Linked DNA regions of Tamandua tetradactyla. The protein of the gene in region 2 purifies or fractionates together with the protein of the main gene of each other region. This does not show direct contact. Links are inferred from orthologs where the notes say so. Each region holds a gene or a part of one and is shown on either strand. Other genes may lie near its edges.

What was found.
Region 1: the proteins of KPNA1 (region 2) and USP1 purify together in Homo sapiens (co-immunoprecipitation; 6 studies listed by BioGRID and IntAct, with this or other methods). This does not show direct contact. The link is inferred for Tamandua tetradactyla from reciprocal best matches to the Homo sapiens genes KPNA1 and USP1.
Region 3: the proteins of KPNA1 (region 2) and ALKBH5 purify together in Homo sapiens (co-immunoprecipitation; 3 studies listed by BioGRID and IntAct, with this or other methods). This does not show direct contact. The link is inferred for Tamandua tetradactyla from reciprocal best matches to the Homo sapiens genes KPNA1 and ALKBH5.
Region 4: the proteins of KPNA1 (region 2) and CDKN2AIP purify together in Homo sapiens (co-immunoprecipitation; 4 studies listed by BioGRID and IntAct, with this or other methods). This does not show direct contact. The link is inferred for Tamandua tetradactyla from reciprocal best matches to the Homo sapiens genes KPNA1 and CDKN2AIP.

What each region holds. Positions count from the first base shown.
Region 1 is NC_135328.1:157,562,332-157,569,782, forward strand, and holds the start of USP1 (ubiquitin carboxyl-terminal hydrolase 1), read right to left. Parts: upstream 3,079-7,451; 5' UTR 2,928-3,078; exon of another isoform or gene 2,425-2,927; intron 1-2,424. UniProt on the Homo sapiens protein: Negative regulator of DNA damage repair which specifically deubiquitinates monoubiquitinated FANCD2. Also involved in PCNA-mediated translesion synthesis (TLS) by deubiquitinating monoubiquitinated PCNA.
Region 2 is NC_135336.1:22,986,766-22,995,047, reverse strand, and holds the start of KPNA1 (importin subunit alpha-5), read right to left. Parts: upstream 3,304-8,282; 5' UTR 3,116-3,303; intron 1-3,115. UniProt on the Homo sapiens protein: Functions in nuclear protein import as an adapter protein for nuclear receptor KPNB1. Binds specifically and directly to substrates containing either a simple or bipartite NLS motif.
Region 3 is NC_135332.1:1,831,539-1,839,469, reverse strand, and holds the start of ALKBH5 (RNA demethylase ALKBH5), read right to left. Parts: upstream 3,065-7,931; 5' UTR 2,174-3,064; coding exon 1,404-2,173; intron 1-1,403.
Region 4 is NC_135352.1:29,459,230-29,467,425, reverse strand, and holds CDKN2AIP (CDKN2A-interacting protein), read left to right. Parts: upstream 1-4,865; 5' UTR 4,866-5,032; coding exon 5,033-5,304; intron 5,305-5,749; coding exon 5,750-5,880; intron 5,881-6,306; coding exon 6,307-7,637; 3' UTR 7,638-8,128; downstream 8,129-8,196. UniProt on the Homo sapiens protein: Regulates DNA damage response in a dose-dependent manner through a number of signaling pathways involved in cell proliferation, apoptosis and senescence.

The DNA.
Region 1 (7,451 bases), on a different chromosome or scaffold from region 2:
TCAGTTATCAGTTGCAGGCAACAAAACCACCAATTTTGAAAACAAATCTGGCAAGGTTAGAACTTCATATATGAAAAACTAATGCCCAGCAGTAACAGGCACTCAACGTTTGCTGCCTAAATGAAGGACCTTGCCATATTGTCCTCAGACTTTCTGAATATCAGATACTGAACCTAGCAGCCTACTATTAGATTAAGGATCCCCATCACAAATACAACATTTAGTAGAACCTATGGTAAACTAATAGTAAGGAATAAAAACATTTTCCTCAAATAGCGTAGTGTCACTGTTAAATTTCTGGAATTCGATAATTATATTATGGGTATGTAAAATAATGTCCTTGTTTTTATGAGATAGCATTAAAAGTTTTTGGAAATGCAAGAATATGATGTTGGTAACTTAACTCTAAAATATTCCAGCAGTAAAATATACAAGTGAATAAATGAAAATCTGTATATGAATACGTATATACATTTATGTATATATGCGTATAAAGAGACAAGGAACACAAATGTGGCAAAACATTGACAACTGTTGAATCTAGCTTCATTGTACTGTTCTTGCAATTATTCTCTAGGTTTGAATATTTTCCAAAATAAAAAAAATATTTGACTTAGAAAAAAACATTTTCCTCATAATGTATTAAATCCTGCAGAAAATACTGACTGAGCAATTACCATCTCTAGTTCTAAAGCCCTCTAAAGTAGTGCTGGACATAAACAAGTCCCCCCTCCAATGGCCTTTTCCAGATGTTAATGTGAGTTAATATATGAAATAAAGATTTTAAAAAGCATATTTAAAGTATAATTTGCATATGAGAAAAGGCATAGATCTTGTGTTCAATTACACTTAACTTCAGTGAAAGGTAATAAATTATGCAAAGTTGTAGGTTGTGTAAACAATTTGCACTCTGCATATATCAAATTTTTATGTGTTCTAAACCACAATATTCTACTCAGTTTCCAAGCACTCTTTTCAATCTATGGTTTTTTTAAAAAAGCTACTTTCAGCAGGAAAAATATGATTTGGTTTTCTCTTTGCAACCTTTCCTACTTTTCCTGTTTTAAAATAAAACATTTATATGCAAAAGCATGGGGACATTTATGGTAACTATTTTATACATCATTCCAAGTTTCCATTTCGGCATCTGGGGGGAAACTGTGATTGCAGTATTATCAGAAAATTATTTAGAAACCATAACCTCAATAACGAATTACAAAAGTACATTCAAATTAATAAGATGCACAAAAAAATTCATTCAAATTCCATCTGTAAGCATTACACTCCACTGACCTGGGAATTTGCAACACTGAACTCAATGGTGAAACCACATTCTTGAGACCCAAACTCGAAGAACTAGACAGCTGACCAATTTCCCCATCCTGTCTCCAACTCAAAATTATTCTCCTGACCACCTAATGCTACTTACGAAATGCTACAATATAACAAACCAGTCTGAGCTAAATTGTCAGGGATCTCTAAACATTAATGGTTTTCTTAAAAGGATTTTCTTCGGAGCCAATTTCATCAAAACAGAAACTGCATTCTCTAAGTAACAAAGTCATCGTCTTTAAATAAATAGAAGGGAAAAATGATCAAGCATCTGAAATAAGGTATCATCATCCTTATCAATAAGCCAACCTTCCTGGTTCCCTCAAAGCAATAATCAAATACTTAGCATTACCTAGAATATAACATCTTGCTGCCTGGCTTTCCTTATAACTGGGTTGTTCCATCTAAAATGTTTCTCCTAAAACTATACATCAAGTTTCGAAGTAAAGAGAATGAACCGAACATTAATTGTTCTTGAACAAATGACAGCGTAAACACTAAGTACCACTGGTTATGTTTTGTTGATTTCTTTATAAGATGACAGACGCAATTCTTATTTTTCAAGAAACATATATAACAGTTTATATATAATAGTCTCAGCAAAGGTTTCAGATACGTGGTCACTTGCTAAACCCGTCTGGAAAAAATAAGAAGTGGAAAAAATGCGCGGTAAAATAAGGCAATTACACAGCCATAGGACAACGTGAGTGAAAACATTTCTTCTCCCTATCCCACCACTCTAGAGAACAGGAAGGACACTGAAAAGATGACAAGAGACGTGTCAAAGGATGTCTATGCCCTTTCAGGCACAAGCACTAGGCAAGGTGGGACGCTGGCCTTTGGCCCTCACTACCGTTCACTTAAAAACGCTTGACCCCTTCACCAGAAGAGTTGGCCTGATTATGCCCAGCCCGCACCTGCCTTCGTGAGTTCCCAGCGGCGACGGGAAGGGGCGCCCCTCCCGGTGCACTGAAGGCTTGGCTAGCAGCTCAGTAAAACCTCAGGACCTGTCCCGGAGCAGACCCACTCGGGCGCCAGTCAAACTTGTCTCCGCGCCCGGGCACCGGCCCCTCCTTCCCAGGCCGTCCTTACCTGGTCATGACCCAAAGCGAAGTCCGCGGCGGTGACGCCGACGATTCCAACCCGAATGGGTTTGAATGCGACAGGTGAGTCCCTGCCGCGAGCCCGCTGGATCTCCGACCCAAGGAAAGGCTGTTCGGCTCGCCCTCCCCGCGGGGAAGTGACCATTCGCTCTCAAGAGCGGGAACCTGGGCCGCCACTCGGTCCTGCTTTGCGTCCGCACCAACTACATCCCCAGTGCGGTGGCCGCCTAGGGCCGCCCTGGGAGGGAAAGGAGCGCAGAACAGGTCCCGCTTGCGAAACCCCTGATCCGCTAGGGTCTTCCCCACTCCACCACAGAGGGGAACTTGGCGCGTTTTCCTCAGTCTCAGGACCCCCGTGTTTTAGCCCCCGCCCGCGCCAGCGCTGCTATTGAAGGCGGCGTCCTTCGAAAATGCCAGTTCTAGTCTCCACGCTGCATAAACGCGAAAGGCAAGAGTCACCTCGCGACCGCCACTCGCCCCTCTGGCACTCACGGGCTCCGGAACCAGCTGGAACGGTAGTTTCCCCAAGATCCTAACGGGTTCTGTAGTTTGAAACAGCGCAGGCACAGTCAAGGGCAGCTCGCGAGGGTCCTCGCTGAGGGCGCGCGCGAGGTGCTGGAGGCCTGGCTGGCGGGCTCGAGCCTCACACCCTTTTTTTTTTTTTTTTTTTTTTTTTTTTTTTAACCATTCGGGCGCGCGAGTTGGGATAAAAGCTTACGGGTCGGGAGACAGGACAGAGAGACCAGGGGGCGGGCCCTTTCGCGAGAAGGACCCGCCAGGTGCTTAAATCCACCAATCCGTGACGGTGGGTTACAAAAAATTAGCCCCACCACCACCAGGAGGAGCCAATCAAAAGTATCTAGTTAAAAACCAATTGGATGGGCGGGGAAGGGAAGTCCAGCCAATACCAAAAAAGAAGAGAGGAGGGCTCCGGCCAATCATTATTGGACATGCAGAGTGTGCCTAAGCGGCAGTTTCCCTCCTTCCGCTCGCATTGGCGATCGAGTGCGCGCTTTCGCTGCGACTGTTGTATTTTGCTTCGCAGTTTGTTAATCCTGGACCGTGGGACGCCACTGAGGGTGCGGTTTCCGAAGTGAGGCCCTCACAATAAACCCCGCCCCCTGTCGTGCGTACCCAGTCGGCGGGGTAACCTGGCAGACTGGTTTTGGAAAATGGCTGACCAATTTGCTGTCGTTCTGTACCAGGGCTTTCATTTCGGGATCGCAGCCCTGGCCCAGGGCCGTCCCAATAAACATAGCCTTGCCGTTGAAAACAGTAAATTCTCAGCCGGACATCGTTAGAGCTGAGATCACTTCTTCGCACCCTCCAGGCCCCATTTTCTTTTTTTCACTCCTTCCATTTTCCCCGCCGCGAGAGAATGTTAAGACCCAGCTCTAGCTAGGAGAGTGTCAAGGGATTTCAGCGAAAGCTCTACCAAAGCGCTCAAAAGCGACAACGCAGGTCTCACCCGTGTGCTTCCTTCTGTGTTTGCATGGTTAACGAAGTGAGGTGACCTCAGAAAGCAAGTGCTGCTGTTAAGCAGGATAAATTCAATTCAAATCATTTAATCAAGTATGATTTTAGGCGCCTGCTCAAGTGCCGGGCATTTTCCTAGGCGTTAAGGATACGGCAGTGAGTAAATTAACATTCCCTTCTCTAAAGAAACCTTACATTGGACGGAGAGAAGCATTAATCCATCTAAAATGTTAGGAAATAATGCAACCGATAGGGTAAAGAGATGAAAAGCGTGCTGCTTTAAGTCTGTCAAGACGTCTTTGAGTTGACATTTGAGAAGAGAGCGAATGTTAAGTGGGACTACGGAGGAAACAGTGAGTGAGCCTGAGTAAGAAAGTAGCCTTGATAAGCACAGTGAACCTGGGTAAGAAAATAGTAGGAAAGAGAATGAGATAGGCGAGGCTCTGTACAAATAGGGTAAGGAGATATGATTTTATTTTTAAGTATGATGGGGAATTACTAGATTGTTTACAACTGGGAAGTGGCATATTCAAAGTGGCTCTGATGGGTAGACTGTTGAACCTCAAGAGTGGAAATAGAAATGTCAGCTAGGAAGCTATTTTATTAGTCCAGGGATAAGTTATGTTGGCTTGGAATAAAACAAGTGGAAGTATTGAGAACTAATTAAAATTCAGGATATATTTTAGAGTAGAACCCGCAAGTTCTGCTGATGGATTGGCTGTGTGGTATGTGAGAAAAAAAAGAGACAGATCACCAAAACTGCTTTTTGTTTTTGTTTACCGGAGCAATTGAGTAGTGGTTGATCCTTACTGAAATGCGGAACACAGCTTCAGGTATTCGGTATGCATGAGTGATTTTGCAAATGTATTCTTTTCTATTCCATACATAAGAAAGGATCAGAGAGAGTTGGCTTCCCACTGAACAGGCAAAAATACTTATTTCCAGTTTTGCCCGCGGGCTGTTAAAACTCCTTCCCTCTATGGTAAAATAGCTTGAAAAGGATATGAACCTTCTGGACATCCGCAGAGCATCGCAATGATCCATTATATCAATGACATCATGCTGATTGGGTAGGGTATGCAAAATATGGTTTAAGTATATCAGAAAAATTAAAGGACAAAGTGTACAAGTGTAGTGGAGATGGGGAAGAGGAGTGTGCAAAAGAGAGATGAATCATTTTCCAAACTGAGAAGTCAATAGATAACCACTAACCAAAACATCAAGCAATAGAAACATGAACAAGGTGTTTAGAAACGTGGAGGGAAATTGCAAAGAATCAGCTAAAAGTTAAAGTGGTTGCCTTTAGGAAATGGGAAGTCTTGTTGGAATCTTTGAATCTTTAAATCACGTGCAAGTGTAACTGGAAAAAAAGCAAAATACTTAAAAATAAAACTGTGAATAAATTTTTTTCTTATTTCATTCCCTAGAAAAGGTCAGAGCCAATAAGCTCACTGGAGTGGAATTATTTTGGGTCAGGGTGACAATTCTTTTGACCCTCACTGTTTTTTAGGTCCGAGTTAAAGGAAGACTAGATATGTGAGCCCTTGGCCTTCATCCAGCATTTTTAGCAACAATCAGACTCTAAACAACTGGTGAAACCATGACCCAATAATTAAATTTTAAAAAAGGGTGGGTAGTATCTCCACATATAGTCTGTTGAAAGGGTAAGATCTATAAACTGCAGGTTCAGGTGGGAGGGTCTTTCATGCCTCTGAACGGAATGTCTTGCCCCACTTCCTTAATGTTTATTAACAATTTAGTAGATGAATGTCCGGTAAGTGGGTGGGTGATGAGGGAGTAGCAGGAAGTCTCATAAACCTGTTTATATTCCATGGGAAGAGAGTCTTGTCTTTCTCATCCCATTAACACTCTGTTGTCCTTTGTATGCTTGATCCATCTTGAGAATACATCTACAATTAAGTTTACAATATTTTTCTTAACTGAATAAAATTTTTTGAGGAAAAAATGAATTCTTACTCTTGAATATCATTCTACACTCATGGGTTTTTTTTTTTTTTTTTTTTTTACTTTTTTTTATTGTGAAAAATAACATATATAAAAAAGCGATACATTTCAAAGCACACCACAATTAGTTATAGAGCAGATTTCAGAATTTGGTATGGGCTACAATTCCACAATTCTAGGTTTTTCCTTCTGGCTGCTCCAAGACACTGGAGACTAAAAGAAATATCAATATAATGATCCAGGAGTCATGCTCATTTGTTAAATCCTATCTTCTCTGTTATAACTCCACCTTCCACTTTGATCTTTTTTTAAGTTGTTTTTTATCGGCATATATATTCACATACAATGTAGTCATCCATTCCTCAAGAAGTCTAAATCCATCTTCTTCACATGGAGACAGTAGAGGCATTCCAAGAGGGCAAGTCTCAGTGCACAAATGTATACCAAGTGTCTACCTGTATCTCTGAACCTTTTGCCAAAGCAAATCCCATGGCAGAATATTTCCACTACTTTACCTTTAGGAAGCAAATCTGACTCTTTGCAAATAATAAAATATCCCCAATTTGTATTCCCAGTTTTATCATACCCGTCAGATCAAAATCATGTTAAAAAAATTAAAGTTCATTTTAAAAGAAATTTTTAATTTGACATTAAATAAGGAATTTTCCATAGTAAAAAATACTCTTATAAATTAGCTTTATCATACATTGTATTACCTTTGAACTTAAACATTTAATTAAAAGTTTCCAAGATTTGGAATTACAAAGTTTACATCAAAAACACAACACAGCCGCCCGACCTCCTCCCCCCCTCTCTTTCTCCGCCGGCCCGCCGCGCGGCGCCCACGCCCCGCAGCAGCCGAGCCGCCTGACCTCCTCCCCCCCCCTCTTTCTCCGCCGGCCCGCCGCGCGGCGCCCACGCCCCGCAGCAGCCAAGCCGCCCGACCTCCTCCCCCCTTCTCTTTCTCCGCCGGCCCGCCGCGCAGCGCCCACGCCCCGCAGCAGCCGAGCCGCCCGACCTCCTCCCCCCCTCTCTTTCTCCGCCGGCCCGCCGCGCGGCGCCCACGCCCCGCAGCAGCCGAGCCGCCCGACCTCCTTCCCCCCCCTCCTCCCCCTCCTGCTCCGGCTGCTCTCCAACCACCACGGTGCCCTCTTCCCCCGCCTTCATCGTGCTCCTCCGCCACCAGCCTCGACAGCCTTGCTGCCCTCACCTTTCCTCCTCCAGAACAGCTACTGGGGGAGTGGAGATAATACAGAGCAGCTCCCGGAGCCACGAGGGAGATCAAAGGGACAGCGTACCCCATCCTGGAACGGCTGACTATCTGGGAGAACCAGCTCCGGTGAGATCACCAAGGGGCACGGGCTTTCCTGGGTGGGACGGCAAGCGACCGGAGTCCCTCCCTTCCACCTTCCCAGGCCAGCTGGTAGAATTGGACAGGCGGTCCCCTTAGGCCACGGCGGCTGGTGCCCCCACCACACGAGGCCCCCCGGAACAACTGAGATAGTTGGGTCGGAAATCCCCAGACTGCGGAGAACAGTGACCGGGGGATCCCTTCCAAACACGTGACTCCCCCGT
Region 2 (8,282 bases):
AGAAGAAAACATAATAAAAGAAATATCCCAGAACTAAAGGCTATAAATTCCCCTCTTGTAAGGGCCCATGGAGTTCACTTAACTGAACAAAGACCCATACCAAGGCACATCACCATGAAATTTCAGGGGTTAAAAAAAAAAATTCCTAAAAACTTGGGAGGAGGTCACTTACCAATAAAGAAGAAATACAATGGCTTTGGCTTTCAACAGAAGCCAGAAAATAACAGTGCTATAACTTCAAAACTTTGAATAAAAATAACTTTTAGACTAGAATCTTATGTGATGAATAAGCAGACTTATTCTTGTACACGAAGGGCAGCATTATTCTTGTTATGTGAAGATAATCCCCGTCATCCACATGCTGGATTACTGGCTGCTTTCAAGAACTGTCCCAGTTAGTCTACAACAATAGAACTATTTTTTCACTTAGGTTTGTTTTCTAGGGTTGTACTATCTTAGAAATAACAACAACTGTATATCCCATCAGACTTTATCCAGGCTTTTTCACTGACCTCAAAATTTTCTATTGCAGGCTTTTTCTGACCCCCATCCTGCCCCCACTCCCACCCAGATGACTTAGGACAACCTCCTACTCACTGCAGCAAGACAAGAGTGAAATCGCCCCAAATCAGCTAATTTAACTGTTTACCTTTTCCAATGTTTTCTCCATTTTTATGGCTGAATTCATAATACCCTAAAAAGTACAGAAAGCTCTTACAACAAAATAAAAAGGAAAATGAGATTTTTTTAGTTTGTTTGGTTTTTTCTCTTTACAAGAGATTTTTAAATTCACTAAATAATCTTTATTTGCATGACCAACCAAAAGTCATAACTGCACAGTATTTATATTCTTTTAAAAAAAATTGATGGACTTACAAAGGCAGAGACATCACAAAAAATGATCAAGACTTTATTTTTTCATTAATTCAACACTGCTAAAATGCTGGAGACAAAAAGATAATTCTTATCTTGAAATGAAAGGGAAAAGATAAAATATGGAAGAGCAAAAGAGAACAAAGAACAAAACAACTGAGCACAATTCTAGACTATTTAGCATAAAGTAAGTTATAATATAGTTGAGGCTAAGGAAAATTACAAAAACTGAACACAAGTTAGCTCTGATGAGCCTCCTGAAAGCCAAAGTATAAAAAGAAGCAGGATGACTTACAAAACAATCATGCTCTAATAAAAAGCAGTTATTTGCTTAAAACAAAGAAAAAGTCCTAGCACTACACTCTTTAGATGTTGTCTCTAAGGTCCCTATTTTATAAGAAGTAAATTAGAAACAGTATCTTGGACAGCAATGGAACAAGATTTTTTCCGTGTTGTCCCTTCTTATATACCCAATCCTAGGTAAAAATCAAGGTGCAAAATATTAATAGTTCTGTGAAGAAATGTTGACAAGAAGCTAAAGTAACATAATGCAAAAAGTATAATGATTTCAAGTGATGGGTTTATTTCTGTCATTGGGTTTATTCTAGGTTTCTACAAATGTAATATTTTGTTTCCCTGCTGGACTCTAAGCTTCTCAAGGCTTATGTTGTCTGCTTCCATTTAATAATATGTCATGCAGATATTATTTGTATTGCTAGTCTTCCCTGCTACACTGTAAATGCAATGAGGACAGGGACAATATGTCTTGATCAGGACTATATCCCCAGCTCCGAGCAAAGAATCACTCCATAGTATTTGCTGAATGGATTAAAAAAAGAAAACACAACCAAGAAGTATGTAAGCAGAGGGGTAGGTCTTAAAATGGCAGTGATTTGGGGTGGTAAAACTGGTTCCAACAAAAGCTGGTTGACCTTAAGTAAGTTAATTTCTCTGACATACAATGTTTTCATCTGTAAAATAGGAAAAGTTAGTATATCATCTATTTCAGAGTTATTACAAGCATTAAATACGTAAATAAAATATGTAAGGTATTATAAGCATTAAATATGTAAATAAAAGATGTAAAAAAAAAAGCTCAATAAATATTAATTCCTGTACTTTCTCTCAAGACCTCCATCTTAAAATCATCAGTACCTTCCAAGAATAATTTTTTTTCAATAAAAGCCCAATACAGCACATTCGCACTTTTCTCTGGGAAAGAAAACAAAAAAAAACAAAATTTTATCTCTTTAATCTTTAAAATGGGAGGAGGGTGGAACAACTTCTGGTTATTTTCAAAATATTACAAAAGCAAGAACAATGTAAAGAATTAATCTTGAAACAACTACTGCTAAGAAATAGGGGGTTGGGGGAACCGTCAATTTTTTTTTTAAAGGATGAAAAGCTATTAATACAATTTAACACTTTTAGAAAAATATTTTGCAATTGCTTCTAAGTTTAAGCCTTACCCTTTCCTTTATAAGTGGAACATTAAGTACATTCACTCCACCCTAAGTCGTTCCTTCGTGACATGACAACTTCCCCGACTCCACTCGTCCCTCAGTTTTCTCCTCACATTCTGAGCTTAATCTTATACTTCGCTGTTTCCCCCGTTTCACCACTTACATACGATATGAACACACGAAGTTCTGTAATTCCTATAATTACCACACCCCTGTCAGCCGCTTCAGGCCCATGTTGTTATGACATTTGTAAACTGCAGTCCCGCTCACCCCACCCCAACCTCCGGCTCCGGCTATAACTTGTGAATTCCCAAGATGGTCCCTTCCTGTCTCGGTGAGGATTTTTACACGCCACCCCGACACTTTCCTGCCTCTGTCACAGTACTCTGCGGCGCCCACCCCCGCCCCTCGCCGGCTCGCGCCCAGCCGCGGCGCAAGCTCCGCGCGCGCCTACTCCCCGCCCCGCTGACTCTGCGCCCCGCAGTCCCCGTGCCGCTTCCAGCTCCGCGGCCGCGCCGCCCCGCCTCGACCGGCGCTCCTGACGGCGATCACACTAGCACTCCCCACCCCCACCCTCCCCTCAGCCGGCCGCGCGGCCGTTAGGACAGCCGGGCTCGTGACGCACGGACACGCCAGGAGTGCCCGGCCTCAGAGACCCGAGCTCGAGACCCAGCCGGCGCCCGACCTCGTCCCCGGGCCTCACCCGGGTCCCTACGAGAACTGCCCGGGTTCGCCTGCGGGAGGGGGAGGGGCCGGGACTACAGGGTCCCCGCACTCACCAGGCTCAAGGCAACCGATCCCGGTGCCAGTGGTGGAGCCGCACGCTCGCCGGCCGTGCCTCTCCTGCGCAACCCTGAGGAGCTGGTCTCGCGCCTCAGCGGTGCTCACCAGGCCTCTCTCTCCGCCGCCGCGCACCGAGGAGCAAGACCCTGATCAGCCGGCGTTCGCAGCGCGCTTGCGTGAAGGGACCAGCCCACGCGCCTGCGCGGGTCCCACCACTTCCACCGCTGCAGAGGCTGCCGGGAGATGTAGTCTGCCTAAGATCTTACTTGACCCACCACGCCATTAGTCCCGAATCAGTACGGAGTTGGGGGTCCGGGAAGGATCTCGCTGAGGACGAGGTTTGTAGTCAATGGAAAAGGTTGGAGAATCGTAGAAGAGTGACAGTGAGACGGTACTTCTTACGCGGAATTGCAAAATCATGTTTACAAACCTGTCTTCACTAAGCTCTTCGAAGGGCGGATAGAGCCCCACTCACTCCTTTATATCTAGCCTCCAACATGGTAGATACCTAATACATGTTTACTGTACGAATGATGGAATGATTGAAGCACGGGGGAGTATTTTAAAAATATTAAAAGTGAGTGGCCTCACGTCTAAGAAGGCGTTCGCTTGCTGCACGTTTGCAGGAATTGTGGATTCCATTTTTAATTCTCTTCCATCCTCTTTACCTGATAATGTATGAATAAATGATTTGTTTTTTAAATTAAGAAACTAAGTGAAACAAAACACTGGTTTTACTCTCACTAAGTACTCTCAAGCGATAATTTGAGGCAAATAATTATTAGTTAAATGTGGGGAAGCAGTGGCTCCAAAAGAAAAAATGAAGCCACCTCAGCAGAGGTACGAAATAGAAAGTCTCACAGATGACGTGGTTTATCAAATCAATTTTATGGAAACGCCGAGAAACTAAGGAAAAGAGATGGATGGTGTAGGTTAGCACACTTATAAGTGGTAGAGGGTGGGCACTGGGGAAACCTGCACTATCTGCGGTTCGTATGTCCAGGACAACGTCCGTATCTCCCGGATCTGTCTCTGCCACGTGAGCCTTCCCACTGACAATATATTTACGTAGATAAGAACTGAAGTTTGAACAAGGGAGCTGGGGCAAGACAACGTGTTCTATGGGAGACACTTAGGGATTTGTATGCCTGCTCAAACTAGGGTAAGAGCAGATCACCTTATTCCAGTCAGATACTTGGATTGTTCAAAGGTGGACTTCAGTCTTTGTGAAGGCTAGTTCATTTCCAGTTCGCTCTTACACCCAGCTATGGTATAGCTCCCAAGTGTTGCAACCAAACGTCTGGGGTATTACCAGGGCCTCTCCTTGGCCCCACATACCCACCTCTTTAAAACAGCTCAAAACTCAGTTTTTTGGTCACTTCTTTCAAAATTAGTAGGCACATCAAGTGGAAAAGAGGTGGCAAATGTCAGACACACCTCTCATGACTTCCCTTTACTTCAGATTTTGGACCCACAATTTTTTACATTAGTAGCTTTTCAGTGCCTTTATGTTTTTTCTTTTAAACTTTTTTTTTAATATAACATGCATACAAACGAAAGAAAAGCAATGATTTTCAAAGTACGCTTCAACAAGTAGTTACAGAACAAATTTCAGTGTTTGTTATGGTTTACCATTCCACTATTTCAGATTTTTCCTTCTAGCAGCTCCAAAACACTGGAAGCTAGAAGAAACCACCCCCTTTTCTTTCTTTTTTTTTTTTTTTTTTGTGAAAAATAACATATAAACAAAAAAGCAATAAATTTCAAAGTACGTTGCAACAGTTAGTCGTAGAACAAATTTCAGAGTGTGGTATGGGTTACAATATCGCAATTTTAGGTTTTTACTGCTAGCTGCTCTAAGATACTGGAGACTAAAAGAAATAACAATATTTTAATTCAGCAATCATACTCATTGGTTAAACCTGACCTCTGTATAACTCCATCATCACCTTTGACCTATCTCCCACTCCTTAGGGATATTTGGGCTATGCCCATTCTAACTTTTTCATGTTGGAAGGGGCTGTCAATAATATGGGATGGGGGATGGAACTAGTTGATGTTCTGGAGATGCTGGCCCCTCTGCATATCAGGACTTATCTTGTCCAGGGACCTATCTGGAAGTTGTAGGTTTCTGGAAAGTTACCCTAGTGCTTGGAAGCTTTGTAGAATCTTATATAATGCCCTAGGTATTCTTTAGGATTGCTGGAATGTTTTGGGTTGGGGGTTGGCAAGGTATGGTAGGCAGCAATGTCTAAACTGAAGTTTGCATAAGAGTGGCCTCCAGAAGTAGGTCACTATTTGAACTCTCTCAGCCACTCATACCTTATTTGTTCCACTTCTTTTCCCTTTTTTGGTCAGGATGGCATTGTTGATCCCACAATACCACGGCCAGACTCATGCTGGCAGGAAGACTTTCACCCCTGGATGTCATGTCCCACTTGGGGGCAGGGTGGGGGATCAATGATTTCACTTGCAGAGTTAGGCTTAGAGAGAGAAAGGTCACATCTAAGCAACAAAACACCTTTGGAGGTGACTCTTAGGCATACCTATAGATAGGTTAAGTTTCTCCACTACATACATAAGTTTCACAAGAGCAAGCCTCAAGATCAAGGGCTTGGCCTATTGATTTGGGTGTCCCTACTGTTTGACACAGTATCAGGGGTTTTCCTGGTGGTAAAGTTTAATAGTTTCATATTTTTTCTCTCATCCCTCAGGGGACTTTGCCAATACTTTTGATCATCTGCTTAATATACTCTGGGATGTATCCAGGCATTACATTAAGCTATACAGGATTAAAGGCCCTCATTCTTATCCTGGGCTCCCTCTGTTGGATTGTTTAAATGATCTATCCAGACAGGTTGAGTTAGATTATGTGCTTCGGAAAATTTAGGTTCTGGACAAAATAAACCTTTCTTCGTTTGGTCTCAAAGAGTAGATGAGGTTCTAAAGTATAGACAATGTCTTCCTTACCCCTGTATTCTGAATTACCTTAATCCTGACCTGATCGGCTTCATTCTAATCTCTAAATACCAGGTTATACATATATAAAACAGCTTCTCAAAATCCAGAAATAGTAATTACCACTCTAGACTAAATGTAACTTCTATAAGAGCTTACAATCTAGACCCCTGTTTCCTTACAAACCTTAATGTTTTTATATTGTGTCCAGTTATTCTCAGTGTTGGTCCAAAACAACAGTATGCTATTGCTAGAAGAATTTCTATATATATTTTAATTTTACAAAAGTATCATACATATATGGTCTTACATAAACTACTATCTCTTGTACTATATCTTTTTGCATTTTGAGAAACTGAAAAATTATAGAACACTTTTGCTATTACAAATAATGCTGCTATGAACATTCTTATACATCCCTACTTATGTACAAGGAAAGTACCAGATCCTAGAATATTACGTCTTTAACTTTATTAGATGTGTTATACAGAATTCTGAGGTGGTCCCCAATTACTCCAGCTCCTGGTGTTGCCTTTTATAATCCTCAGGTTTTGAGTGAGAACCAGACAAAGATGATGGGATGTCACTCCTGTGATTACATTTCACTGTGTAACACTTTGCCTTAGCAGATTGCTTGAGACTTTCCTGCTGGCCTTAAAGAAACAATCTGCACTGCCATGGAGAAGACCACATAGCAGGGACCCAGGTCACTGGGTCCTCAGGGAAGCCTCCAGCTGGCAACCAGTAAGAAGCTGGAGACCTCATTCATACAACCACAAGGAAATGAGTTCCGCAAACAACCTGAGCGCTTGAAAGCAGATTCTTCACTGGTCAAGCCTTCAGATGAAAACACAATCAAGCCATCACTTTGACTGCAACCTTGAGGGACCCTCAGCAGAGGACTCAGCTAAGCTGCATATGGACTTCTGATATACAAAAACTGTGAAATAATAAATGTGTTTAAGCCACTAAATTTGTGGCAGTTTGATACACAGCAGTAGAAAACAAATGCATTAGGTATTGCTGGATTATTTCACAGTGTGGTTGTACCAATTTATACTCCCACAAGCAATATATGATTGTCTATGATTGTCTTTTCTACACATTCTTGCTGACACTAGCAAATGTCTATTTTTATTTTTGCCAATCTGATGGCAGAATAAATAATACATTTGTGTTATTACTATAACATAAAAACATGAAAAATAGTTGCTTCCTTTAAATTATGTGCTACTTTGCTATATGAATGCTATTTAAAAAATAGCAATAGGACTAGTTAAATGTAGTAACTAGAAGGGCTAATTAAGTAAATAATATATGTGACAAAAATATAACAATTTTTATAGTTTGTCCTATTGTATAGCAATTTAATTCTTTATTGCTTATTTAAATTTTGTAGGTATATTATTATGTATTCTTAATATATATAAGTGTAATACTTTTAAAAAGAGTGTAAATATAATAGAGCTAATTTAACAGATATTACCTATATTTAATAAAAAATAACAATGGCATGTTTCTATCCCATGAGGCAGTGGGATATTTTTGCTCTTTCTGTTTTCTTTTCCATTAATACTTCTCTGAACTGCTCAGAGCCTTTAGGACATCATTATTTTCTTTTATGTATCAGTAAAACTGAATACAGTCAAATGAAAAATTTTGACTTGCAGCTCTTCTCTAATGGCTACATTGTACTGATTCTGATGTCAAGACAGCAAGCTAAATATGCTCACCACAAAGGTGTTAGAACACAGAATACTTAGGATTTTACTTACTTATACAGCAGATTTATAAACTTGAAGGAATTAGTCTCCAGCTCTTCAAAATGTTCAGCCACTTTGTATGTAAAAGCTTGCTTTATCAAACCCGATGTTTGTCAATCAGATCCTTTACATCTATAAATTATAAATTAATGTAGCCTATCTGTGTCTAAAATTCCCATCACTCTGAAGGACACTGAATGTCAACCTCTCTTCCCCAGGGAAAATGATTTTGAAGCAAAAAGGTAATCAGAACTTGTAAAATAGAAGCTAAATTCCAAATAAATTTATACTTTTAGTAAAGAAACTTGGAAATTTCTGTTTAACTTGGTTGTCCTTTCCTGGGGACATTTCTTGTTTCCAAAAAAATTAGTCCTTTTTTTTTTTTTGGTTGTATGAATATTTGTCCCATGTAACATTAAACAACTGAGGTGCAGTCATTCCA
Region 3 (7,931 bases), on a different chromosome or scaffold from region 2:
TGGGAGGGTCTGTCCTGGGAATCCCACCCTAATGAGGTCTGCCAAGACACGGACTTGGGACGCAGACATGAGGGAAGGGCTCTGAAGCCTGAATGACTGGTAAGTGGCCCTCGAGCTCCTGAGGTGGACATCTGCCGTGTTTCAGAGGCATAAGGAAGCCTAAGTGCTGCCTCTGCTGCCACCAACTTTCCATTAGGAGGCCTCAGACATCACAGGTTCTGCTGCCAGCCCGACAGGAAAGCAGCCTCGGCTGCCCAACTCAAAGGAGATCGAGGACCTGCCCCCAGTATCAAGAAGGCTCCAGGGACCGCTTCTCCCCACAGGGCCCACTGAACTGACAGTACTTCAGAGGTTAAGCTGCTCAGAACAGATCCCCAGTGTGTCCTGATCCTGTACTTTAATTCCGTGGTCAACCATGCCACTCTGAACAGCTGCAGTCTAGTCCTCCTAAGAGGTTTGGGGGATTACTTAAGTATGCTCCTAGTTTACCTGTTTCAGGGCTGGAATAAGGCAACAGCTTTCAAATAAATTTTCTGCTTCATTTAACCAAAGAAAGGTGTTCCCAGAAAGCATTCTTTTTCTTGGGCCAGGACCGAGCTAATTCTCTGCAGGGTCTGGGACCCCAAATAGACCAGGAAACCAAGTTCTGTTACCGACATAACTGTCAGGCCAAAAAAACAGCTATTTTGTTTTAGTCGGTCCTGACTAAATGGAACCCATTTTTATGAAGGACCTTATAGGTTGTTCCACAGCCAAGGGGGTAGAATTCTTTAAATATACTCAACCCTACCTATTCCTGGCCCAACCACTGCTTTGTGGGATTCCAGGAAAGTAACTTCCTCTCTTGGGAGAGGAGACTGTGCAGCAATTAAGCCCTCTCAGGGAACCTCACCTGGGAGTATTTTCTCTGCTAAGGAATCCATGAGCATTTTCTCTGTTAAAAAGACAAAGAATGGTAACATCTGAAAGACTTTCGGATCGTAAGCGTGACTCGCCTGTTGTTTAAAATACAACACAGATTTGGAAGTGGAGGCCCAAGCATGGAAAAGTGGCTTGCCTAGAAAAAAAAAATCACACACGAAAAGAAATTTGTTAGCCTTCTGATATCCAGTCAGGCTGACTTCTGGAAAGATGACTTTGGATGAATTCTCAGTCTGGTCCAGGACTGTGTCAAACCTGCCTCGGGGATATAGAACTCTAGATCGGGTCCCTGACCAGGCTTTCTGGTCAGGGCCTCTGGCCGTGGCCATTCCCCATCACCTACAAACAGAAGAACTTAGAATGGATCAGGACCGTGATCGCAAGCCTGGGCTCCGAATGGCTGCTGCTGCAGCCTCCCGGGACAGAGGGCGGGGAGCTAGGGCAGAAGGTACGAGGCAGCCCCCTCCTCCCAGGTAGGTTACCTGAGCACAGTCACGCTCCCCCTACGCACGGGCAGGGAAAGCACAGGTTCTGACACCCGAATAGGCTTGAACTGGAACTTGCAGCCGAAGCAGAGCGCGGAGTCGCTGAAGAAGGACACGGACACGATGGGGCGCTCGAAGATGTGGATGGGATCTACGTGGGACACGATGCAGCCGCCGGGCTGGTAGTCGTTGATGACGGCGCTGTTGACGAAGCCCTCGGGGATGACGCGGTGCTCCACCAGCTTCTGGATCACCAGCTGGTGAACCCACTCGGGGATCTCATCCACGTCGCCCGGCGGGTAGAGGCGCTCCTGGCCGGGCCCGCGCTTCTGCAGCTGGGCGCCGTACGTGTAGCCCTCGCCGAAGAAGTACTTGTTGCGCAGCGGGGCCCGGTCCACCGTGTGCTCGTTGTACAACCCCTTCTCGGCGCGGGACACCACCTCGTCGATGCGGGCCTCGATCTTGGCGCACTCGTCCTGGCTGAAGAGGCGCATCTGGCGGATGCCGCTCTTCACCTTCCGCGCCTCCTCTTCCTTTTGCAGCTGCTGCTCCTCGTAGTCGCTGCGCTCGGGGTCCGAGTCCTCCGGGTACTTGCGCTTGGCCCCGGGTGCCGGGTAGGGCTCGGCCGCGGCCGCGGCGGCGGCAGCAGCGGCCACAGCGGCAGCGGCAGCGGCGGCCGCCTCCCGGCTGCCTGCCTTGTAGTTGTCTCGGGACGTCATGGACTTCAGCTTCTCCCGAAGGTCCGTGTAGCCGCTGGCGGCCGCCATGGCCCCCGCGCCGCTGCTCTAGGGTCCTCCGCGGCGGGCGGGGCGGCCGGGCATGGCCCTTGGGGGACGCGCCCCGGCACCCCCGGAGGGGAGGGGGTCCTCAGCGCCGGGCCCCCATGCGTGGCCGGAGGAGCCGGCGGGGGACGTCGAGGGGAGCCGAGCGCGGGACCAGGCCTCAGGGGCAGCGGGTCAGGCAGCGGTGGCGGCCGCTGGTCTTCCTCCGCCGCCGCCTTCTTCTCCGCGTCCCGGGGGGCAGGGGCGCCGGCAGCGCCTCATGCCGCGGGGGACCGCCGCGGGGACTCGGACCGACTCCCGGCCGGACCCTCAGACGCCCGGCCCGGCCTGCACTTTAAAGCGCTCCTCAAGACGTCACGGGCCGGCCGCCCGCCCTACGTCCGCCAGCGCCGCTCCTCAGCGGGTTCCTCCGAGCGCACGCGCAGAGCCACCAGCCACCGCGGCTCCGCGCGTTACGGACATGCGCAGGCGGGAGGACCCAGCCGGCCGAGAGACCCGCGCAGGCGCAGAGGGGGAGGCGGGCCCCCCGAGCGACGTCCGCCGCCCCTCCCCCACTCGCCGAGGGGCTTCGGGGAAGCACCCGCCAACAGCAGCCTGTCTCGACGCCGCGACGCCTCCAGGGCCTAGGGGCTCCCTCCGCAGGGGTGCGCTCACGCGTTCGACGCCTCCGCTGGACCGTGTCAAGGCATCGCCCGAGTACCCGTAATCGCCTCAGCCCTCAGCGCGCAATCACCGGGGAACCGCCACAACCTACGCTGCCCCGTGACCGCCCCCTTTGGCGCCTCCACTTCTTTAATTGGGTCTCCAGCCCCGCGTCGGGCGGGCCCAGACGGGAACTCCCGGAAGTCGGTTGGTAAGGATGCCTGTCAATCGGTCGGTCGCCTTGGTTACCACGTCAATCACTTAATCGGCGGCGGAGGAGGGCGGCGAGGACCCCTGAAGGGCGAACGGGTGGCTAAGTAAGTGCCTGAATGGAGAACCCCCGGAGGGAAGCCCCCCTACGCTTAAGGAAACTTTTGAAACCAGCGGAAACTTCTCAAACTGCGGGACCGGGAGCACTGGGCCCAGCTCCAGACCTAGATGGCGGCGGTCATCGAAACTGGCCACGCATTGTCCGGGGTGCCCCTCCTGCCGCCGCCTCGGCTGCGGGAAGCGAACGTTCTACGAGTCACGTCCCGGGGGCGGCGGGCGCGCGCGGCGCGGGGGCGCGCCTGGGCTGGGGGCGGGGCGGGAGCGGGAGGCTCGCGGAGCAGCCAAGCCGGGGCGGGTCACGGTAGCCGGCGGAGAAGCAGCGCAGCTGCGCGGCCGTGGCGGCCGGAGCCCCCTACCCTCTTCCCGACCCTGCCCTTTGTCCGCGCGCCGTCTGCCGCAGGGTCGCCGGCCGCCTTCCAGCCCCCGCCTCCGAAGCTCCTCCTGCCGTCCCAGGCGAATCGGCCGGTAACCACTTCCGCGGCTGTTTGGGTGCCCCCCGCCCCAAACAAAGCACCGACCCTAGAAGCGGAGAGTCGGAGTCGTGGGGGTGGGGGGTTCGGCCTCTCGACGGGCTGTAAGACCCCGAGCAAATGATTTCCTCTCCCTGCGCCTCAGGCTCCTGGTCTGAGAAACGGGAGTGACCCTAGTTCCCATCCCCCATGGTGAAAGGGGTCTATTAAGCGGGGTGCATCGCGGACCTTGGTTCTGGGCCTCAGTTTCCCCATCTGTAAACTGAGGGTCCCCCGGTCTCTGTCGGCAGTGGGAGTTGTACGGTGCCTTGTCAAGGCCAGGCAAGTGAGTGGCGAAGCCCAGACCCCTGGGACTGTGGCCACTGCCCCAGCTTCCCCTCTCTCCCAAAAAGCAGCCACATCAGGTGCAGGGGGAAATGCTGCAGGTATGGAACTTGCAGTGAAATTAGCTCCTCCCTTTTTCTGGTGCAGCCTGGGAACGGACAGACCGGGAGAGAAAGGTAGCTGCATCCGCAGGCACAGGTCCTTCAGAAGCCCAGCGCCCACCTCCCCTCTAAACTGCCCTCCCACAGGGTGCACCAGACTCTGCTCGCTTACTTCCTTGGCATCCTCCCAGAGCCCCTACGAAGCCCGCTGAGCTTATCCAGGCACAAATGGGAATTGCCTCCTCTCTAGGTTGACAGCCCCTCCCATCCCAGGATCCCCACTGGAAGTTTCTGTGTGTCCTTCCCGCACAGCGCAGACTCTGGAGCCAGCTGCCTGGGTTTAAACCCTTGCTGATGCATGTACTGGCTGTGTGGTCTTGGGGAATTCCGCCTTCTTGCGCCTCAGTTTCCTGTATATAAAATGGTAAGAACGATAATATCTACCTCACTGGGATGTTTTGAGGATAAAATGGGTTAGTACTTGTACAGTACAGTGCCTAGCAGGTGGTAAAAATAAGAATTAGCTTTTTAAAAATGTCTCTCCCACCCCCACCCCAGACATCCACTTGCATCACCTGCCAGACATAATGACCACTTAGCACAAGCCTTAAAGTGTCTATCAGTGCTTCCCCTTTATAAAGAAAGAAGCACAGCTCAGAGAGGACAAGCAACTTGCCCAAAACTACACAGCTAATCAGCAAACAAAGGTGGGATCTTCCCTGTCTCTGCAGCCTGGGCCTTCATCACCAAAGCAGGATTCCCTTAAGAGGCTGTGGGTCCTGCGTAGGAGGACGCGCCCTGGGCGGGGGAAGGTGTGGGGGGCAAGTATGTGGACAGTGGATCCCAGCAGATCCCAGCCCCTATCCCACGTGGAGGAAGCAGTATGGTCCTTCCTGTTTTGTTTTGTTTTTTTTAACTTAATTTTGAAATAATTTCAAACTTACAGGACAGTTGCAAAAATAATACTGAAACAATGCAGAGAAATCCAATACCTTTCGTACCCAGATTTACCAACATTTAACTTTTTGCCGCATTTGTTATATCACTCTATGTCATAAACATTTGAAAGTAGGTTGCGTGCATCAGGCTCCCTGAATACTTAGTAATTCTGTGCATATTTATTTCTTTTTCTTTTCTTTTTTTTGGGGGTGGGGTGGGGTTCATGGCCCAGAATAATTCTGTGTGTATTTCCAAACAAAGATCATTTACTTATATAACCACCTTAAGCACAGTTATCAAATTCAGGAAATTTAACATTGACATAAAGTGCACAGTCTATATTCCAAGTTTTTCAGCTGTCCCAGTATTGTCCTCTTGGGCATTTTCTCCAGTTTTAGATCAGTTCAGGATCATGTGTTGTCATCTCTTTAGTCTTTCCCTCTCTTTTAAATTGTGGTAACATACAATGTAAACTTTCTGTTCTTAACCACTCTCAAGTATACCACTCGCTGGGATGAATCCATTCTCCATGTTGTGCTGCCCTTGCCACCATCATTTCCATAACTTTCTCACCACTTCAAACAGTAATCCTGCACTCTTTATGCACTAGCCCCATATTTCCCTTCCCCACCTCCCTGGAGACATATAGAATCGACTTCCTGTTTCCATGAAGATGCTTTTTGAATGACTTCATTTGAAGGTCTCATACAATCCCTCTGTCTTATTTTATTCAACACGTATCTTCCAGGTTCACCCATGTTGTAGATTGTGTCAGAACTCGGTTCCTTTTTAAGGCTGAGTCATATTCCAGAGTATGGATAGACCACGTTTTTTATCCATTCACCTGCTGATGGACACTTGGGTTGCTTCCACCTTTAGCTCTTGTGAATAATCCTGCTCTGAACATTGGGTTCAAATACTGTTCTAGTCTCTGCTTTTAATTCTCTTGGGTATGTACCTGGAAATGGGATTGCCAGGTTACATGGTACTTCTGTACTTTGTGAGGAACAGCTAAACTGTTTTCCACAGCAGCTGTTCTATTTAACTTTCCCACCAGCAGTGCATGAGGGTTCCTATTTCTCCACATCCTCGCCAACACTTGTTATTTTCCGTTTCATGAATAGTAGCCATTCTAGTGGGTGTGAAGTGGTATCTCATTGTGGTTTTGATTTGCACTTCCCTAATGGCTGATGATATTGAACATCTTTTTGTATGCTTGTTGGCTGTTTATATTTCTTTGGTGAAACGTCTAATCAAGTCTTTGGCCCTCCTTTTTTTGTGATGCAATTTTGTTGAGATATATTCACACACCATATAAACATCCAAAGTATATAATCAGTGGCTCACAGTATCATCACATAGTTGTGCATTCATCACCATGATCAGTTTTAGAACATTTTCATTACTCCAGAAAAAGAAATAAAAATAAAAAGTATACCCAAAACATCCCATACTCCTTACCTCCTTCCTGTTATTGACCCCTAGTATTGGTGTGGTCCATGTCTAACTGTTGATGAAAGAATATTAAGATATACTGTTAACTATGGTCCATAGTTTGCGGTAGGTACATTTCTTCCTTGTTCATTGCTGGTATCTAGAACACCCCTGTTTCCTGGGTTTTAATCTTGTGCCCTGCCACTTTGTTGAACTCACTCATCAGCTTTAGTAGCTTTCTTAAAGTTTCTTTGGGATTTTCTGTATAACAGGATCATGCGATTTATAAATAGGGATACTTTTACTTCTTACCTTCCAAATTGGATACCTTTTCTTTCTTTTTCTTGACTAGCTTCTGTAGCTAACACTTCTATGACAATACTGAATTGCAAAGTGAAAGCAGGCATCTCAATCTTCCTTCCCTTTCAGGGAAGCGTTGGGTTTTTCACCATTGCGTATGTTTGCTGTTTTTCATAGGTGCTTTATCATGTTGAGGAAGTTCTTTCTATTCCTAACTTTCTGAGTGTATTCATCAACAAAGGTGTTGGTTTTTGTCAAATGTCTTCTCTGCATCAATCGAGAAAATAGTGTGGGTTTTTTCCTTCATCCCGTTAATGTGGTATATTACATTGATTTTCTTACGTTGAACCACCCTTGAAATGCTGGGAGAAGTCCCACTTGATCATGTTGTATAATCGTTTTAATGTGCTGTTGGACTTGCTTTGCTACAGTTTTGTGGCGGATTTTTGTGTGTGTATTCATAAGGGATACTCGTATATCATTTTTTCTGCTTGTGATATCTTTAATCGGACTTCAGGATCTAGGTAAGCATGGCCTTACAGAAAGAGTTAGGAAGTGTCTCTCTTCAATTTATTTGAAGATGCTATGGTAGTTTGAAACTGAATGGACCTCAGAAGATTATGTTCTTAAAGTTAATCTATTCCTGTGGGTTTGAACCTATTGTAGGGGGGACCTTTTGATTAGGTTATTTCAGCGGAGGCGGGCCCCAGGTGATTCTTAATCCTCTTACTGGAGTCCTTCATGAGAGGACGAAATGCAGAGAGAAGGACACAGAAGCTGAGAGAAGGACACAGAAACAGAGGAAGCCCCCAAAGCCTGGAAGCAGTGAAACCTGGAAGAGAAGGGAGAGACAGCAGATGCTGCCACGTGACAGGAGAAGCCCAGAATCACTGGCAGCCTGTGTTGAGGAAGAAGGTATTTTCTTGTTTTTTCCAAAGGGTAAGGATAGGTCACTGGGCAGATGGCGTTGTGCCTTTAACTCTTGACCCCGATTTGTGTGTGTACTGGCTTGGAAGGAGGATTCTTGTGGCTTCCTTTTACTCTGGGTTTATACTTAAGCGAAGACTAGATTTGCTGCCGTCCCATCACTGGCACATGGAGGGCTGGGAGCACATCAATGGTTAGTATCCCACAAAACCAGTGGGCAGTGGAAGTTGATGGCGCCACGTGTAAGTAACCAACTTGGGTATTCAATTCATGCTT
Region 4 (8,196 bases), on a different chromosome or scaffold from region 2:
GGTGTTGGTAGGACCATGTTCCCTTGGCCTTTTGGTTTCCATGTCTCTTCTGGTTTCTGATGACCCAGAGTTCCCTGGCTCTAATCTCTACCTCCATCTTCACATGGCCATCATCCCCCTGTGTCTGTGTTTCTGTGTCCAAATTTTCCTCTTCTTATGAGGATACTAGTCACATTAGACTTAAGGCTCACCTAATCCAGGATGACCTCATCTACACTTGATTACATTTCAAACACCCAATCTCCAAAGAAGGTCACATTCCGATATTCCAGGTGGACATGAATTTTGGGAGGCTACTATTCGATCCAGCACATAACCTAAGGTCTCTTCTCACCTTTTCTCTCTGAACATCTGAACAACAACTTCCCCAGGCCAGAAAGGAGTTTGAGTGGTGGGAAGGCCCTTACAAGAATATATATATATATATATATATATATATATGATATTCTTAACTTTGTGATCCATGGTCTATACCTTGAATCTTCTTATGCAATGCAAAAGTTTTAAGGAATCAAAGCAAAACAAAACAAACTCATGTACCCGACTGCCGGTGCGATGGGTGTGCCCGCCATCGAGCCCCTGACCATTGCTTTCCTTTCTCTTCGTTGTCGCAAATGCCCTGAGCTCGGTGCCAGTGGGGACCAGGAGGTGGAACTAGAAGCATTCCGTTTGATTTATGAAGGAGATGAAAGTTTCTGGGAGGTGAAAATGGTGATCCCAAAGCCTTCTTAACAGAGATTTCCTGAACAGAAACATATCCCCAAATACCTCCAATTAAATCTATGAATGCTGTTTAACAACACTATGTGAGTAGTGGTTCATTTTCATTGTTTTCTGCTTTCCCGTCCCTTTTACTTTTCTTCCGTAGTGTGTTTGTTTTCATAGTATATTAGCCCAGCTACAGGAAGCAGTTGAAGTTAATCTTGGAACTGCTATGACGTATATGTTGTTGAATATGCCAAAGACAATAAAGAACAGTTCATGGAGATACACCAACCCACTATGGTTCTGCGACAACCATAAGCAATATCATCTCAGTTGAAACTCCTAATACAGTCCCATCCAGTAAGAAAAGACAAAATAGAACAACTTGAACAACTTTCAAAAGCCCAGAAACACAAGCTGGCAGATAAAACACATCACAAAGGGGAACTTCCTCGAGAATGGAACTGGGTTGATGTGGTTAAGATATATACTATTTGTCTTCCAGTTTTCAAAAAATTGTTATAATCATTGCTATCAAATAATGAAATTTATATCTTCCATCCCACCCCTACCCTGGCCCTGCAACCTTTAGATTTTACTGGAATGTAAATCTTTCCTTTTTTATATTGAGCATTTAAACAAAACTGGTTCTAAAGATGATGAATAATGCTTGGAATTTGAGACAAGGAAAGTGCATCCTTTAAAAAAGGAAATTGGATTCAAAATCTTTGAATACTCTTTTCTGGTATTGAAGTGGCTTTTTATAAGACATTTTTTTTTTAATGTTCCTTGTGTAAAAAGCGTTGTAAGTTAAAAGTTCAGAAAACGATCTGTGTTATTTTCACAAACTTGCCTTAATAAAAGGTGAAAATGGTAGTTTAGTATACTTTATGAAGCCTGTGAAGATCTGTAACTGGACAAATATGGGGAATAATAGATAATAAGTTCTAATTTATATGACCTTATTCTAGAGGATGTGATATAGTTTTAAAGTAGTATGAAACCTTTTATAAACTCTCATCCCAATGGAGCAAAATACTGAGCAAACAGTTATTCAGCACTATGATCCATAGTGATAAGCTTTGCATCTTAAATGAAGTCTTCATCTCTTGTTTCTCTTAATTACTTAAGCATAAATTGCTTCAGAAAAATTTGCATCTCAGTATATGAACTTTATACATAATACTCTTTGAATTTCTTTTTATTTTTCAAGTATGAACTGCCTCCCTTTAGTAAGTGGATATCCGTTTATACATTTCTCTCGGTTTGGGTCAAGATGTTTAATCACGCGCTCTTTCTATCATATATGAAATAGGATAATATAAAAATAAAAAATCTGTTGAATATATTAGGAAGCATTTTGAATAGAAATGATGGTTCTTATTTAAAACATTACTCTTTGCTATATATACTATGATGGAGTAAAAGATGCCTTAATATTTAATTTTTTAGTGTTGGAGACAATGATTCTAATAAATTCCTATTTATCTGCTATTATGTTTTTAGCTGGTAAACTGAAGGCTTCTGAGTGGTTTAACAAAAAACCCACACTTCAAGTCTTGCTGCTTTTCTGAGTCTTTTTTTAACTATACAAATATATTTCTCAACCTGAGCATTTTTGTGATAATGGACATAGAAATCTTTCAAACGTTGAGTTGTAGAACCTGCTTGATTTTTGAGGAAATCATTAATAGAGGAAAATATTGGTGTATTTTTAATCTGTTAGGAAAAGTTATTGATGCTTATGTGTGATTTACAGTGATTCTGTATATGCTTCCCAGCTACAACTACACTAGAACTACTGCCGTGGTATCCAGAGAACAGAAGTGTTAGTTCCTCATGTCATGCCTGTGCAGGTTGAGTCCGAGTTTTTTAAAAAAAAAAGTAACTTATAAAGAGGTTACCTTAGCATAAGAGCAGTTCCTTGAGTTGTAGGCACAGTTTTTACTGGGCTAACATTGACTTCAGTTAAAACTTTTGAATTATAAAGTGAGTATAAATATAACAAAGAAGCTTAACCTCATTTTCAAAAGGTGAATCATAGTTTATTTCTTGAATTAATATGATAGAAACATTAAAATCAGGATCACTGGAATATGCCAACTTTCGTATTCAGTTGTGCTGTATAGGTTTTGTTATATTTAATGGTTTGCTTGCTTTTCAAAGAAACTGTAAAAGCTCACTCTAGTAGTGGAAGGAAATATTGTTTTGCTCCAAAGATTATAAAATTGTTCAGCCTTATTGTGGTTAATAAATGGTCACCAAGAATGCTAGTTAAACGCCAATGAACTGTTTTTACTCTTTTTATATGATATATATAAATTTCTGGGTGTGATGGTGGCAGTGGTGCCTTCCATTACCTTTTGTCAAACACGCATTTTCGCTGATGTTGCCATCATCTTTTTAACACTCCTGGTACAGTTTCTCAATGTCTGTTTACTTAAAATGGTTTGGAATGACAAAATTAACAAGCAATAAAATCTGAATTACCATGAAAAACAAAAAACAAACAAACAAAAAACAGGTACGTTTTCTGTCAAACACCTGGCACTTAGAAGTACTCCAGCTTTTAGACTGTATTTACTGTATTATAACTTTTAAAACTTATTTAGAAATTGCCTTAGAAGCATTTGCTCTTCCTTACAGGTGACAGAACCCCATGAATTTATGGTTAGAAGGTTATAAGGCAACAAGAAAAGAAAAATTGTTGGTTTAAAATGACAAATAGCATCCATCTATATAACCAAAAGTTATTTTACTTGTTGCCTCACCTCACACCTTGCCAAATAACTCATGAAATGAAAAACTATGAAATCCCCCCAACCTTTTACAGAGCCAGGTTTTTGCAATTCTTTCGTCCCTCTAAATTTTTAGCGATTAACAGTGAAAAGAAGGTAAGAATAGCAAAACTAGAAACAAAACCCCAAGCAATCAAAATTTCTTTGTGCCTATGTTTATAGTTTCTTTTAGAATAGCCAGAAAATGAGCAGTAGTGTTATTTCCATACAGTAAATGCATTTTGATTATTTCAGGATGCATTCAAATCACATCTTTTTAAAAAAATTTTACCTACTCTAATCCAAAGTGACCTTTTTTTCCTTGATTATTCTGATCCAGACATTTTTACAGCAAAGCCCCCCAAAAACTATGGAAAGGAAAATTTATTTTATATTCATAATTTTATCATTTATTAGATCGTATTAATTTTAAAGTACGCATATACCTATCATTGGAAACCTAACAATAATCAACTGTAAAGAACGGAGAGGAAAAAAAAATAGATACAAGAAGGGGAAAAGTTTGGGGCGGCAGAAATAAACAAGTCAAATTTCCACGCTGGTTCTTGGCTCTTTGCTCAGTTGGAGGTAACACGACTGTGGGTTTGTGCAGTTTTGTAGCTATTGAGCCAAAAAAAAAAAAAGGAAGCAGGCACTGCTTGGGTTGAGAGACCTAAAAAACTGCGGAAAGCAACCCTAACCCCTGCGGAGAAAAGGACTCCTCGGAGTAAATCGAAGTGGAGTAACATAGGAATTTTGTTACTGTTGCAGCTAATACGCACCCCCCCCATTCCTAACCCCCTCTGAGACGGGCCTCAGAACGCTTCGCTTGTGTACATCCCAAACAGTGCGAGAAGCTGCCTTCAACCATAATCAAAACATGGAGGCTAGGCTTTGTTTATTTGGGAACGGATCAAAAACAAGCGTCTTAGGGCGGAGACCCAGAGACCTCGCTTTCGTACCGCGGCTCAAGGTCGGTCAGGAAATTAAAAGAGCCTCCAGCCACACGAGGACTTCATCCTGCCCGGCCCAGGCTTTTTCGCCTCTGGTTCCGGCGGCGCGCGGGGTGGTGAAGGAAGCCGGCCGGGAGGGAGCGCGGCGTCACAAAGCCAAGCCGGAACGCGGAGGTTTCCGCAAGTGCAGGTCGCCCGGCCGAAAACCCACTCGCAGCCGGGCCTCGACGGGCGGGAGGCGCCCAGCGCCCGCCTCCCCCTGCCCCCTCCCGCCCCCGGCCCGTTGGGGCCGCGGCGTCGCGGGCGCCGCAAAGCGTCCTGGGAGAGCCGGCTCGCGCCGGAAGGACGCGCGGGCGCGCCACAGCGAGGTTATAAAAGGGACGCAGTCGGCGGCAGGCGGAAGTGGGCGGTTCAGCTGCTCCCCGCGCTGTTTTTTTTTTTTTTTTTTTTTTGGTGTTTGGTGTTTGGGCCTCCCCAGGGGCGTTCTTGGGAGGGCCGCCCGTGCAGGCCGCAGTAACAGAGCCGCTCGCCGCCGCGCACCCCGCCTCTCTCTCGGTGCAGCGTCTGCTCGCGGCCTCCGCGACCTGCAGGCCCAACATGGCGCAGGAGGTGTCGGAGTTCCTGAGCCAGAACCCGCGGGTCGCCGCCTGGGTGGAGGCGCTGCGCTGCGACGGCGAGACTGACAAACACTGGCGCCACCGCCGCGAGTTTTTGCTCCGCAACGCCGGGGACCTGGTTCCCACTGGTGGTGTGGACTCCACGAGCACGGATGAAGCTGCGGACGCCGAGAGCGGGACTCGCAATCGGCAGATGCAGCAGCTCATCTCCTTTTCCATGGCCTGGGCAAACCACGTCTTCCTCGGCTGCCGGTGAGTGGGCAAACCGCGCTAACCAGCTCCCCCACCCCACTTTTGTCTTCTATCCCCGGCCTTCAGAGGGGAGGGGAAGCGAGGCGCGAGAATCCGCGAGACCCGGCCGGCCTCGAAGGGTGAGAAGGGCGTTTCTGCGAGAAAGCAGAGGTGATTAATAGTGCATAGGTGCCCCGTCGTGTAGGGGGCTTTTTGTAGAGTTGTTGGGGTTGAGCTGACAGAGGTCTTGTGGGTGGACAATAGATTTAAAGATTTGTAAAGCGGGGCCCCCGCCTCCCGGACCATGGGGCATTTGTTTATGTGCTGTCTTTAAAAGAAACTTTCCGGCGGTTGGTACGCTTGATTGAGGCCAGGAAATGCAGTTCTTGGGGCCTGTTTTTGCACACCGGAAGTAGTAGCTTAGAAAAAAACACTTGTTAAAAGTAAACTTTTCCCTCTTTTTCAGGTACCCTCAAAAAGTTATGGATAAAATACTTAGTATGGCTGAAGGCATTAAAGTGACAGATGCTCCAATCCATACCACAAGAGACGAACTGGTTGCCAAGGTGAAGAAAAGAGGGATATCGAGTAGCAATGGTTAGCAGATCATAGATGTGAACATACATAGGAGTTTGGAACATAAGCTTAATATAATTAGGAATTATGACTTTTCTTTTTTAACAAGCCCTAATTTACATAATGTTATTAATCTTGTTGGAATGTTAAACTTAAAATATATTTGTGTTTGTTTTAGGATCTGAATTTGATAGTTCGATTGTTTTTATTTTGAAATGTCGACTATGTGTCTTATGCTGTTAATATTGAATATTAGAAATTAATAACATGTTATTCAGCACCATTTTAAGATATTAATGAAGTTATTCCACATTTCTTAAAGAAACTATTAATCTGGAAATATTTCCACCTCATACTTTCATTTTAATAAGTATCTGTCTTATAAAATTTAGCTGATATGTGTTTGGTAAAGTTTAAAACAAATCTGTATTTTTTTTTTCTTTTTAGAAGGGATAGAGGAGCCATCCAAAAAGCGAGTCATAGAAGGGAAAACCAGTTCTGCGGTTGAGCAGGATCATACAAAAACTTCTGCCAAAACAGAACATGCATCAGCTAAGCAGGAAAACAGTTCAGCTTGTACGGGGTCCTCCACCAAATCAGAGAGTAGAGGGAACTCAACTCGTGGTCAGAATAGCTCTACAAGTGATGGGGATCGATCTGGTTCCTGCCAAAGCAGCAGCAGCATTTCCTCTCAGGTAACAACAGCAGGATCTGATAAAGTTTCTGAATCAGAAGCTTCAGATAAGCATGGTTCAGCATCACTTGTTTCTTTGTTGAAATCGAATGTGAATAGTCATGTGACCCAGTCCAGTGATTCCATACAACCCAGTGTTTCACCTAAAAAGAGTGCTTTGGAAGGCTCTTCAGTCTCAGTTTCTCAAAGCAGTTCAGAGATTCAGGTACCCTTGTTGGGCTCTTCAGGAAGCTCAGAAATAGAGTTGCCACTGTTGTCTTCTAATCCTAGTTCAGAGACAGCTTCAAGTGGGTTAACTACCAAAACTAGTTCAGAGGCAAGTATTTCATCATCCGTTTCTAAAAACAGCTCCTCATCAGGCACATCCTTAATAACTTCCAAGAACAGCTCCTCAACAAATACATCGCTACTGACTTCTAAAAGCACTTCCCAGGTAGCTGCATCGCTATTAGCTTCCAAGAGCAGCTCCCAGAGCAGTGGATCTCTGGTTTCCAAAAGCACTTCCTTAGCAAGTGTATCCCAGCTGGCTTCTAAGAGTAGTTCTCAAACTAGCACATCCCAGTTGCCTTCTAAAAGTACTTCACAGTCAAGTGAGAGTTCAGTCAAATTCTCTTGTTGCAAGTTAACGAATGAAGATGTAAAACAGAAGCAGCCTTTTTTCAATAGACTGTATAAAACAGTGGCTTGGAAGTTGGTAGCTGTTGGTGGCTTTAGTCCCACTGTGAATCATGGAGAACTCCTAAATGCAGCTATTGAGGCTCTGAAAGCGACACTGGATGTGTTTTTTGTCCCACTAAAAGAACTGGCAGATTTGCCTCAGAATTTGAGTTCTCAAGAAAGTATTGTTTGTGAGTTGAGGTGCAAGTCTGTGTATTTGGGCACTGGCTGTGGAAAAAGCAAAGAAAATGCAAAAGCAGTTGCATCAAGAGAAGCATTGAAGCTATTTCTCAAGAAAAAGGTGGTGGTGAAAATATGTAAAAGAAAATATAGGGGTAGTGAAATAGAAGATTTAGTACTCCTTGATGAAGAATCAAGACCTGTAAACTTACCTCCAGCATTAAAACATCCTCAAGAATTACTATAATGTGTCTAAAAGATCACTGCATAAAATATTTAGTATTTGAAGAGAAAAACTGGCTTACTTTTGTATGATATAAAACAGGCTTTCACAGATTTTGTATTGCTTTTTTCCAGTTTTGCAGAAAATTTACATTCTAATTCTCTTCACACAATAGAAGTTGTAAATAATCTGTGAATGACAGTATACATTAAAAGGTATGCATTAACAGCATACTAGTATGCTGGTTTATTTGCTGAAGAAAATACTGTCTTCTATTTTTAATGATATTAGGTACGATGTGTAGTTCTGTAGCATCTTAAAACTTTTGTACTACTTTCAATTTGGTGAAACTATTAAGTTGTCTACCATGCTTTTTTTTAAACTGAATAAACCTTCACATTAAAGAAAAGGGGACCACAGTATTTGAATCTCTGAAAGTCTGTGAAACTTAAAAGTTTTTAGAATGTTGCATATATGTTGAACATGTCTGTTAAAGAATAAAAGAAAAAATAGTTGCCTCAGACTATTTTTGTGAGAAGTTGTAAGCATTTTTAGATATAAAGCAGTATAAAGTACTTGGATG